3 linked regions of the Sus scrofa genome follow. The protein of the gene in region 3 interacts with the protein of the main gene of each other region in a biochemical or structural test. Links are inferred from orthologs where the notes say so. Each region holds a gene or a part of one and is shown on either strand. Other genes may lie near its edges. The genes, in order: ELN, EFEMP2 and LOX.

The links.
Region 1: the proteins of LOX (region 3) and ELN form a complex in vitro, tested with the Homo sapiens proteins (2 studies listed by BioGRID and IntAct). The link is inferred for Sus scrofa from reciprocal best matches to the Homo sapiens genes LOX and ELN.
Region 2: the proteins of LOX (region 3) and EFEMP2 form a complex in vitro, tested with the Homo sapiens proteins (2 studies listed by IntAct, with this or other methods). The link is inferred for Sus scrofa from reciprocal best matches to the Homo sapiens genes LOX and EFEMP2.

What each region holds. Positions count from the first base shown.
Region 1 is NC_010445.4:11,224,318-11,227,957, reverse strand, and holds part of ELN (elastin-like precursor), read right to left. Parts: intron 2,282-3,640; coding exon 2,246-2,281; intron 1,759-2,245; coding exon 1,663-1,758; intron 1,427-1,662; coding exon 1,376-1,426; intron 1,293-1,375; coding exon 1,230-1,292; intron 544-1,229; coding exon 496-543; intron 1-495. UniProt on the Homo sapiens protein: Major structural protein of tissues such as aorta and nuchal ligament, which must expand rapidly and recover completely.
Region 2 is NC_010444.4:6,453,808-6,458,017, reverse strand, and holds the start of EFEMP2 (EGF-containing fibulin-like extracellular matrix protein 2), read right to left. Parts: upstream 2,864-4,210; 5' UTR 2,765-2,863; intron 2,408-2,764; 5' UTR 2,348-2,407; intron 2,040-2,347; 5' UTR 2,033-2,039; coding exon 1,922-2,032; intron 1,696-1,921; coding exon 1,647-1,695; intron 1,037-1,646; coding exon 830-1,036; intron 1-829. UniProt on the Homo sapiens protein: Plays a crucial role in elastic fiber formation in tissue, and in the formation of ultrastructural connections between elastic laminae and smooth muscle cells in the aorta, therefore participates in terminal differentiation and maturation of smooth muscle cell (SMC) and in the mechanical properties and wall integrity maintenance of the aorta.
Region 3 is NC_010444.4:125,604,153-125,608,237, reverse strand, and holds the start of LOX (protein-lysine 6-oxidase precursor), read left to right. Parts: upstream 1-1,211; 5' UTR 1,212-1,227; coding exon 1,228-1,864; intron 1,865-2,210; coding exon 2,211-2,319; intron 2,320-3,693; coding exon 3,694-3,831; intron 3,832-4,085. UniProt on the Homo sapiens protein: Responsible for the post-translational oxidative deamination of peptidyl lysine residues in precursors to fibrous collagen and elastin. Regulator of Ras expression. May play a role in tumor suppression. Plays a role in the aortic wall architecture.

The sequences.
Region 1 (3,640 bases), on a different chromosome or scaffold from region 3:
GGCCGAGGGGGGACGCTCTGCCAACAAATCCCGCAGAGCAGCCTGGACCGGGCTTTTGGGGGAATTCAGGAGGTCACATGCTGGGTGGGGTGGCCGGGCCCTGGCAGGGAACGAGGGTGAGAGGGCAGCTCTGAGGGTCTCCTGCAGGGCGGATGCACTGGGCGGGCCCCCTGGTGACTCACGGCTTTTGGGAAACAGCTGGCCCCAGTGGGGACTTATTTGTCCTTGGGGGGCCCACCCCAGGCTGTGACGATGGTCTGGGTCTGAGCCTGGGCTCAGGGCTTGGGGGGCCGGGGGAGCTCACTGACCCTCACAGGGGAAAGATGAATAGGAGTTTTAAGTCTGTAGCCTGAGCTTGGACACTTAGAGAAACAGTGCCAGTCAGGACCCAGGGTCTCCGGGGGCCTCAGCTTGGGGGGCTGTGAGGGGCCATGCCGGAAGCTGCCAGGGGCTGCCCTCCTTGCCCTAGAGCCCCCTTCCCCTCCTTGTTCTCACCTGTGCCCGGGAGCACTCCACCAGGGTAGACACCTGGGAGCCCCACACCTGTGGCCAAAAGAAGGCATGTGAACAGTAGCCTGGCCTCCGGGAGCCCCTCGTGGCCCATCCCTCCATGGCAGCTCCAGGGCTCCCAAACCAGCCACCCTGGTTCCCCGGTGGGAACAGCCAGAGACAGTGTGCAGTGGCTGCAGCCCTCCTCCCACGAGTTCCGGAAGTCTTCTGCCAACCCCTCTGTGCGTGGATTTGTCTCGTCTCCTAGAGCCTGTTTACATGGTCGGCACAGCCCACCCCTGGACTAACAGCTTCCAGATGTTCCCGCCCTGCTGTGTGGACTTAGGCAGCCTTTTGTTTAACCTGAAGTCACTTCTTCAAGGGCCTGGCGCAGAGGAACCAGCCCCAGATGGGGAGTGTGCACACCTCAGGCTCCCCCAGCTGCGCCATGACGGGCCGCGTGGGCCCTTCTGTCCTGCCTCCCCATTCTGAGCCTCAGCATCGCCACCTGTCACCTGAATGCCCACCCCAGAGTCTGTCCCTGAGGTCTGCTCCAAGGTCGTGGGAGAAGGGCCTGGAAGACAGGCCGGGGCCCCCTCGGCCCTATTTCGGACACGGCCCCTCACTTGGGGCCTGGCTACCTTCCCTGCCCCAGGCCCTGTCCTTCCTGCTCAGGGGGTCTTGGAGGCTCTGGCCCCTCCCTGACCTCTGCCCATCAGTCCCAGGGACCCCACACTGACCTGGTACTTTCCCTGGCTTCGCGCCAGCTCCAACTCCTGCTCCGAGTTGAGGTACCACTGCACCTGGTAGGGAAGGGGCTGCATCAGAGCGGGCTCCGCCCACACCCGCAGCCTTCTCCGGGGCCACGTGGGTCTAGCCTCCGTACCTGTAGACACTCCTAAGCCGCCGACACCACCGACGCCGCCAAGCCCGGCACCTACAGAGCCAGGCGTGGAAGAGGAGGAGGTCACACCAGAAACAGCGAAAGGCAGCGGGGCCTGCGCTGAGGCCTGGCCCTGCCACCACCTCATTTTGAGACTAAGGCCCAGCTTGATGCCTCCCCAAACCCCAGCAGATTGGAGCTGAGGCTGCCCCCCAGGAAAAGCCCTTGGCAAAGTGGAGAGCCCCCAGAAGCCACAGAGCTCTTGGCTTGTCCCAAAGGGTAACACTCACCAGCCTTGGCAGCAGCTTTATAGGCTGCGGCCGCGTCAGCCACGCCGCCGGGCACCAGAGCCCCTGGGAAGGCGCCTGCAGGAAAGGCCCCGAGCCCTGCAGGGAGGAGGGTGGGCTGAGGTCCTGCCCCCCACCCTCACCCCACCCCTGGCCCCACTGCCCCCAAGAGGTCCATCTGAGGCTCTCCTGCTCTCTGTAGGACTGCCCTGCCCAGCTGTGACCACTGCTCACAGCACTGGGTTCTCTGTCCCAGACTGCTCCACTTAGCCTGACAAACTGTGGGATCTTCTGGAGTCCAGATTCTATACCCGCCTCCTCCAGAAAGCCTTCCTGAAGCGCAATGGGGTGGGCGACTCCTATGGGTGCTGGGGCCGCTTCCCTCCTGCTCTCACAAATTACCTATGTCATCATATCCGTGACTCCCCTGTGCTCTGGGCAGCTGCTGAGGCGGGCGGTCTCAGCATTACCCCCAGCACCAGTGCCCGGGACAGGCCTGGTCTCACCCCAGCACCCCAACTGCCCTCCATTCTGGGCAGATGCCCCAGCCCCCAGAGGGGCATCTTGCCTGGGTGTCAACACTAACCTGCCCCAAGGCCAGCGCCTGCGAGCCCTCCGACACCTGCAGGGAGAAGAAGACACAGCCAGGTGAGGGGAGGCAGGTGTGGGGCATCGTCCCTGGGCCTGGGGCGGGGAAGGGTCTCCTGGAATGGGGGCGGGAACCTGGCAAGGCTGTGGTTGGTGTGGGGCAGCCCAGGCCTCTAAGCTGGACTCAAGCCTTTGGTCCTGGGCGGGGGTGGGGCGGTGGGGGGGGGGTCAATCCCGACAAAATAGCAGCCGCTGTTTAGCCACCAACTGCTATGTGCCATGTGGACATGACTGCATTGACCTGTCTGCCCCCAACATGCCCCAATCAGACTCAGTTCCCTCAGAAGACCCGCCAGCTAACGGGAACCCAGCAGGGCTTTCGGTGAAGGCTGGAGCTGAGCAGAATCTGCCAGCCAGACTTCACCCAGGCCAGCCCTGCCCTGCTTCCACGACAGTCCCCACCCTAAGACTCTCTTTGGCTTCCTTGCAGGGTCTCCTGGCTCAGGCCATGTCCGCTTCCCTGTGTCTGGAGCCCCTTTTGTCTTCCACCATCTGCCTGTCCATCCAGCTAGCCCGCCCTGCAGTCTAGGAGCCTCTTTGCTTACAGACAGATGCTAAAATGTTTATAAAAAGCCAAATGGGTCCCCCTGGCTCTCTCCTTCCCACATCTGGGCCCGAGCTCTCCTCTTCCCCCTCCAGGAGACATTCCACGGCTTTGGCCAGGACCCACGGGCAGTCAGGTTGGAGTTCACAACCATGCCGGGTTGGTCTCTGAAAATGTGAGCGTCTCTCCCACAAGAGCCAGTCCTGGCCACTGGGGTCCCGCGCGCGCAGGGGTGGCCTCTCTGGGGACTGACTGCAACCTGCGGGAGTGCTGAGCCCTGGAGGGTCGGCCTGGCTTTCACTGGGTGTGGTTCCCCCACTCCCGTTTCCTACCTCCGGGAACTGGCCAGTCTGAAACTCGGCCAGCCCCCCAGCAAGACAGGTCTCTAACTCTGGGCAGGTGTGGTGCCATCAGGCTGGGCCTGGCACGTTCCCGGGTTCACCTCCCAGCATTACAGGCCCTGTCAGGGGTTTCTCTCAAGCCAGCCTGTTTCCTGACTTCCAACAGGGGCAGGGGACCTGTTCGGGCCTTTCCTGACCAGAAGGGCTGGAAGGAGAAGATGGGGACCAAACAGGAGGTGAGAAGGGCCTGGGTGGGCGGGCGGGGCAGGCAGCCCCTCTGCAGTCATCTGCCCCTTTCCCACGCCCCCCTCTGCCCCGCCCCTGCTCGCCCTCCTTCCAGTGGACTCACCTGGCCCAAATGCCCCACGGAGTCCAGCCCCCGGGAAGGAGGAGAGAGCGCTGAGGGGCCTGGCCAACCCAACGGGCTCTCTCAGAGAGCTCTGGGTTC
Region 2 (4,210 bases), about 120 Mb from region 3:
CCGCTCACGTGGGTGTGTGGGTGACTGACACCCCCAAAACAGGAACGCACAGCCCACCCAACAGCACAAATAAGAATCTGCTGGTCTGGAGTCCCTGGGATATCGGCACCCCTACCCTGGGAGACCCCATGTCAGGGAAGCAGAGGAAATAAGGCCCTGTCCATGCTCCCAGGAACACTGATTGATTCCAGAACCTTCTTCTGAGGCCTATAGCACCCAGGAGTGGGGTGCAAACCAGGAAAGGGGAAGAGGCTGACAGCGAGCGCTCCCGCGGTGCACCTGCAGTGATCAAAAGGAGGATCCCGGAAGCTGGCTGGGCATGGGACGGGAGCTGGGCAGGCCCCCCACAGTGAGGATCTGGACAAGGGGCTGGATATTATTATGCCAGCGGCCCCGAGGAAGCTTTTTATTTTTTTATTTATTTATTTTATTTATTTATTTATTTATTTTGTCTTTTTTGTTGTTGTTGCTATTTCTTGGGCCACTTCCGCGGCATATGGAGGTTCCCAGGCTAGGGGTTGAATTGGGGCTGTAGCCACCGGCCTACGACGCCAGAGCCACAGCAACGCGGGATCCGAGCTGCGTCTGCAACCTACACCACAGCTCACGGCAACGCCGGATCTTTAACCCACTGAGCAAGGGCAGGGACCGAACCCGCAACCTCATGGTTCCTAGTCGGATTCGTTAACCACTGCGCCACGACGGGAACTCCCCCGAGGAAGCTTTTGAGCCAGGGAGGAACATGAGCTGTGAGTTTTTAAAATGCAGTGATAGACACTTGATAGAAGGATTGGAAGCCTCAGCACCAGGGCAACCGACCCTCACTCACCCACGCAGTTCTCTTGCTCATCCGGTTCATAGCCTGGTAGGCAGGGGGTGGCGTGTTCAGCAGGGGACACTGGTGGTGGTGGTCCCTCGCCATGCAGGTCATTGATGACAGCCGCCGAGCGGGGCAGGCACAAGTAGCCCCCGTAGTGGTTGATACATTTCATTTCCCCCTTGCAGGCCTCGGGGATGGTCAGGCATTCATTGACATCTGCGGAGAGGGGCCTGCTGGGCACAGCCAGTCTCCTGGGCTGGCCACGGAGGGGGTGGGCGGCAGGAGCCCAGTGCAGCCTCCTCTAAGCTGCGTGACCCAGGAAGGGCCTTCCCACTCTCCTCAGCTAAGGCTGCCTGCCCAGGACCACTTCCCAGTGCCACCAGGGCTGGTGGCAGGCTGGCTCTTGCTCCACTCACTTCCATTCTCTTATCCCCAAGAGGGTCTCTATGCCGCCCCAGAGCCCTGGTCCCAACTCAGCCCAAGAGTGAGGTGCAGGCCTTCTCGCCCACCCCCGCAGACGCTGCCCTCCCAGGTCACGATGGCACGAAGCTGGGTGGGAAAGTGATTAGAGGAGGTGGCCAGGAACCATGCCTCTGGGCAGCGCCCTGTTGGTCTCTGGACTCCTGGGGGGTGGGAGGAGGCTGTCCCATGTTTTTCTGAGAGGGAGGGGCCTGGATGGCTTCTCCACCCCCAGCTAAGCTGGCCCCCTGAGAACCAGAGCTGGCCACGGCCAGGCAGAGCTGGGCAGGGGACAGGCCACTGACTCCCACAGCAGCTCTCCGTGCTGGAGTTGCAATCCACTTCCTGGTGCTCCAAGCATACTCACCCCGGCAGTGCTGGCTGTCGGGGTCCCACTCATAGCCATCTGTGCATTCCTACAGGGGGACCAGAGGTGGCCAGTGGTCACCCCCTCTCCTCTAACTGACCAGGCCAAGACCAGAGCCCAAGCTTGGCCACCCTCCCCGCCTGCTCCAAACAACAGCTCCAGCTGCTCCACGGACCAGGGGAGGGGAGAACCTGCCCCAGCAGCAGCCACCCCAGGATCCTGGTCTTGGTGTCCCTGCCCAGCCCAGCCCAGGCCAGGGGCTCCACTGTCCCCACCGTGTAGCTGTCGGGCTCCTCCGAATCCTGGGGAGACGCTGCCCCCAAGAGCAACAGCAGCAGCGTCCAGAGCAGTAGAGACCCGGGGAGGCAGGAGGCGAAGGGGAGCATCCTGGGGCTGGGAGGTAGTGAGTGGGGGTCAGGGCGTCTGGGCCACGGATCCCCCATTGCCCGAACCAGGACTCAGAGACCTGGTCCCCGACACCACCCGCCCGGGACTGTGTCTGGGGCTTCGGAGCCTCCCAGGGCCGGGGGTCGACTGATCACGCAGGCCGGGGTTCAGGGCCCACCCGCCCCGGGTCGCCCCGCCCCCGCCCGGTCCCCCAGTGGCTCGGGCCGAGGAGCGCAGGCCTCTGGCTCGGTGCTGACGCCGCCGACTCGGCCGAGACTCTGGCTGGCGCCCTCCCCCCATGGACGGCCACTCACTTGGGCCCGTGACGGCCCGGAGGCCCGCGGCTCCGGCGGCTCGGCTGGCTCCGGTAGTGCCTGCGGGAGACGGACAGGCGGACAGCGCAGCTCCCTGGACGCGCGGCCCCAGGAAGCGCCCCCCGCCCGCCTGCCGCGGCGCGGCCCACCCCGGCGCCTCCGCCCGCCCCTCGGCGGATTCCTGAGCCCGCGCCAGGGGGAGGGACCCCGACCCCCGCTTCTCCGCCCCCGGCCGGCCACAGGCCCCACCCGGTCCCCCGCGGCGCCGCCCGGAGCCGCCTCCCGGCGCCAGGCCAGGGTCCCTTAGCACAGGATCCTGGGGCATTGACCCTGATGTCAAGCCCCCAACTCACTCTGGAGCCCCCAGGCTCTCAGTTTGTGCACCCAAAAATGTCATCCTGCGCACCTAGACCTTACCTAATCTGCACCCCTGGAATTCCTGTGCACCCACATCTTAATGCCAGGGACCCAGACTCTGCGCCTCCCAGAATGTCATCCTGGGCCCTTAGACTCCACCTAACCCTGGAACTTGCAGATCCTCCTCACTCTGCGCCACCAGAGTGTTATTCTGTGCACCCGGACAGTTATTCTGGAAATACCACAACCGCAACTTCATCCAGGGTCCCCAGACCCTCGCCCTGAGAAGAGAGACGCTCCCAGGTCCAGAACCGTCCAGTTCTGTCCCTTCTCCCTTCCATCCCCGGGACTGTCTTCAGCCAGGCGGTCCCTTCACTCCAGGACGGCCTCCCCCGGGCCCTCAGTCCCTGAGGCTACATCAGTTTGGGGCGGGGGCGGCAGTTCACTTTTGGCTCAGAATGAATGGAAGCCCCTGAGAAGTCGAGCAGGGCTGAACTCGGGCGTGCAGGGCTCCAGGGTCCGGGGCCATCACCTTCCTGGCCATCTTCCTACCAATGTCTCCCCCGCACACACCCCACCTCCCTGCCCCGGGCTGTCTGCCTCTTTTCCCAGGGAGACGGAGCGCCTTAAGGGGAGGAGATTGGGCGGAGCTGGCTCCCAGGAAGGGGCGTGGTCTCGCCCTGCCCACGTCTCAGGGCGGGGCCAGACGGGAAAGGGCTGCGTGTCCAGGGAACCCCTGCCTGGAGGCAGATGGCCAGCAGGAACTGTTAAGCCCTTTCCCACCCCAAGTGGTCCTCATAATCGCCCCCTATAGCAGCCCCGCCCGAGGGGGGTGTGTGAAGGAGAGGACATTCCAGGGGGTCCTGAGGTGACCCTTTCGGGTTCAGGGTGAAATGGAGAGCTCCTACCTCCCCTTCCCCCACATCCTCTAAGCAGCCCCCTCTCCCCGCATCCCTGGGGTGAGGGCGGGGGAGGAGGCTAAAAATAATAACTCCTTAAAACCAAAAAGACAGACAATAACAAGTGTCGGGGATGTTAAGGAGAAATTGAAACCTTGAAACGGTCATACACTGTGGGTGGGAATGTAAAGTGGGAGGACTCCTGGGGAAAACAGTCTGGCAGGTTCTCAAAATGTGAACACATGCCCCAGTGATGTCCCGCCTAGGTATACGCCCGGGGCATTGAAAACGTATGTCCACACCAAAAGCCTGTGCACGATGGTCATAGCAACACTAGTCATAAGAACCAAAATACAGGAGTTCCCCTCATGGCTCAGCAGTTAACAAACCCAACTAGCATCCATGAGGTCCTGGGTTTGATCCCTGGCCTTGCTCAGTGGGTTAAGGATCTGGCATTACGTGAGCTGTGGTGTAGGTCAAAGACGTGGCTCAGATCTGGTGTTGCTGTGGTTCTGGCATAGACCAGCAGCTACAGCTCTGATTGGACCCCTAGCCTGGGAACCTCCATGTGCCATGGATGCAGCCGGAAAAAGACAAAAAGACAAAA
Region 3 (4,085 bases):
GATGAAAAATCAGGGTTCTTTACTGACTTTTCAATATTTAGCAAAAGGTGATTTAAGATTTAAAAAAAAATCCAAAGTCAAACTTCCTTATTAGACATATAAAGAGAAAAAAAGTCAGATGAAATGCTTATTTGAAACTGCCTTTCTGAGTGTTCTACAGACAGGCTTACTCTAGCTCTCTTTACTCAAACTTCCTGATAGACACTGGAAATGAAAGATGGGTTCTTCACTTCCACTCAAAGTACAAATCAGGCCGGCATTTTTAAAAAGACACAGGTTTATTCTCTGCTTCAGTGTTAGTTGGCTTTGTTCCTTGTAAAATTTCACTTTTGGTTATTAAAATATTCACTGTAGGAAATAAATTTGTAACCCATTTCTCATATTACCTACACACAGAAAAACAAAATTTGATATCTTGAGGCTTATTTGCTGAGGGCGCTTCCCATAAAAGCGAGGAGTGTGCATTGGGAAATCTGTCTGGTTAACTCCTTATGGATAAACGTTAGTCACAATCGTCCCTCCGCCCACCGCTTCCCCCTCCCCGACTCTCGCCCCCAGCACCCTCCCCACCTCCTGACTTCCCGCCTCTCCCGGGCTGGTGACTTAATAGCATTTTTCTTCGTGCATATTTTGGCTTCGCCCCATGGCCTGGCTGCCTTCGCCTGTCTGAGTCTTTTGAAATTCCTGCATGTTCGCCCCAGATTAAGCCTAGTGTGTCTCAGGATGTGTGTTCCGTTTTGTTCTTTCCCCTTAACGTTCCCTGTGCAACGTGTCTGGGGGGAGGAGGACACGACGGGGAGGGGAGGGAGGGGCAGAGGCGAGGAGCTGTCCGCCTTGCACGTTTCCAATCGCATTACGTGAACAAATAGCGGAGGGGCGGCTGGGCCAGAACGGCTTGTGTAACTTTGCAAATGTGCCAGAAAGTTTAAAATCTCTCCTCCTTCCTTCACTCCAGACACTGCCGTTCGCTGGGGCCGCCGCGCCGCTCCCCGTCGCCTTCCAGAACTGGGAAAGAGGAAAGAGGCGAGTGCCACGTCCCAGCAGCCGCCTTTACTGGGAAGGGTCTGCAGCCCACCCTTGGCATTGCTTGGTAGGGACTGAGATACCCGCGCAACCCGCCCGCCTCCGTGGTTGAAGAGTTCTCCCTCCCTCACGTGATTTGAGCCTCGTTTTCCTTTTCTCCGAGCTACGTCCTCCGGGAGCGGGGACAATCCGGCAAAGGGAGCGATGCGCTTCGCCTGGACCTCACTTCTGCTCGGGTTGCTGCAGCTCTGCGCACCGGTGCGCTGCGCCCCGCCGGCCACTGGCCAGCAACAGCCCCCTCGCGAGCCGCCGGCAGCTCCCGGCGCCTGGCGCCAGAAGATCCAATGGGAGAACAACGGGCAGGTGTTCAGCCTGCTGAGCCTGGGCTCACAGTACCAGCCACAGCGGCGACGGGACCCTGGCGCCACCGCCCCAGGCGCAGCCAACGCCACCACCCCGCAGCTGCGCACGCCAATCCTGCTGCTCCGCAACAACCGCACTGCTGCGGCGCGGGCGCGAACCGCCCTCTCGTCCGGAGCCGTCGCCGGCCGCCCCAGGCCCGCAGCCCGCCATTGGTTCCAAGCTGGCTATTCGACGTCTGGGGCTCGCGACGCTGGGGCCTCGAGTGCCGGTAACCAGACGGCACCTGGAGAGCTCCCAGCGCTCAGTAATCTGCAGCCACCCAGCCGCGTGGACGTGGACGGCATGGTGGGCGATGACCCGTACAATCCTTACAAGTACTCCGACGACAACCCTTATTACAACTACTATGACACGTACGAAAGGCCCCGGCCTGGGAGCAGGTATCGGCCCGGATATGGAACAGGCTACTTCCAGTACGGTAAGCACCCCCAAGTCGCCAGAAAACCCACGCACCCCTTCCCCAACTCCGTGGCTCCCCGACGTGGCTGCCTGGGCGCGGCAGGCCTCAGTCCGTGCAGATCCCATCCCTCCCCCAGCGCCTGCAGAGGCAGCCCTGGAATCTGGTGCAAACCGCGCGCCTGGCCCCTCCTGCTTCCTTTCCACTTTACTTTGCAGCCCAGGCCATCCCCATTCTTCTGTTACCCGAAACCCGACACCGCAGTCCCCATGGGTGAAGGGTGATGAGTAAGGGTCGTGGAGTAGGGGGCAAGGGTGGGCGCCTCTAAGTTGTCTCACCTCTTTGCGCTTTGCCTGCTAACTTTTAGGTCTTCCTGATCTGGTGCCTGACCCTTACTACATCCAGGCATCCACGTATGTGCAGAAGATGTCCATGTACAACCTGAGATGCGCTGCGGAGGAAAACTGCTTGGCCAGGTACCATCTGGGATCTCCCAGCCCAGCTCCCCGTCTTGGTTCTGGGGGCGCTGCTCAGGTGCCTGGTTCTGACCACTCTTCGGTGCAGACAAGATTTGGGACATGGGATGCGCGCTGGGAAGTAGAACATTATCTCCTAAGCATGCTGACCTGGATGGAGAGTTAAAATTTTGAAGACTTTTGTGGGTTCTGTCTTTCAAACAGTGGCACGAGTCAGGGAGATGAAGCAAACCCCTAAAAAAAAAAAGTGTGTGAGGGGGGTTTCCTATTTTCCCAAAGATCCTTAAACTCTGGAGCTATTTCTAATAATGTTCTATTAAACTAGTGCACAATAACATGGAAAAATATTGTGCTGAAAGAGCTTGTTAATGCCCCCTTGAAAGATTGGGGCCACTGATCCAGCGTGGCACCCCTCTTTGGGTGCTACAGTTTCCTTTTTTTTTGATTGAAGCCACAATTAACTTAGTTGTTTTGGTATTACTTCAGCCAGAATAAGAACATGAGCAAGAGCTTTGTTTTTGCATTAGTCCTAAAATAAAATCTTAGCAATTTGGGGAATGGAATTCTCTGAGTTTGCTGCTTGGAAACCAGCAGAGGGAGCAAATGATGTTTGGATAGGATGCAAAGAATTTTTTAAAAATATAAAATAAGGTCACCAGTAGTATCTGAATATATAAATTCACACAAAATACATTAGCAAAAAACAGTAATGTTTGTTTATTTTGTGAATTTCTTCTACTTTGACTCCTGTCAGTCTAAAAGAAGAGAAGAAATCCAAGCTCATCATTTTCATTCTTGGAAATCTTGCATTAATCATACCACTGCACTCCCTATGATATTATTACTACAATAATGTCACTGTCTTAAAGATAGTTATTAAAGTGTTTATTAAGACTTTTTTTTTCCTTTTTTTTTAGGGCCACAACTGTGGCATACGGACATTCTCTGGCTAGGGGTCTAATGGGAGCTGTAGCCACTGGCCTACGCCACAGCAACAGCAACTCGGGATCTAAGCCATGTCTGTGACCTACACCACAGCTCACAGTAACGCTAGATCCTCACTGAAAGAGGCCAGGGATCGAACCTGCGTCTTCATGGATACTAGTTGGGCTCGTTACCAGTGAGCCATGATGGGAACTCCTAAAGTATTTATCTAATGTGGATGCACTCTTTTAGAGCTATTTCTCCAGTTGACATCTTATTTAATCAACTGTTTAAAAAAATGTAGGCAAAATGCCCTGGCCTCTGGGAGCTGATGGCCTAGTTAAGCGAAGACAGTAGTCACCATTATAAAATGGGAAGGTTTTATATGTAGCTTTGTTTTTAGTTAATATTTTGTGAAAATAATAATGTCTCTTTTTTTCAAAATCACAGCACAGCATACAGGGCAGATGTCAGAGATTATGATCATAGGGTGCTGCTAAGATTTCCCCAAAGAGTGAAAAATCAAGGGACATCAGATTTCTTACCAAGCCGACCAAGATATTCCTGGGAATGGCACAGCTGTCACCAGTAAGTGGATGGGCCTCCTGGTGTATTTAAAGAGTTGCTTTTTCATTTGGATATGAAAAATTTTTATACAAAGGTAGAAGATTAAAATTTGTCTTTAAGATAATATATCACCTACTATGTCACATTTTTTTTTTTTAATTGGGAACTTTAAGCCCAGCTTATTAAAACTGTTGACAGAATACAGCAACTGGCTTCACTAGAATTTTACACCAATATAATACAGGTAAGATTTCCAAAAAAACCTGTTACAATCA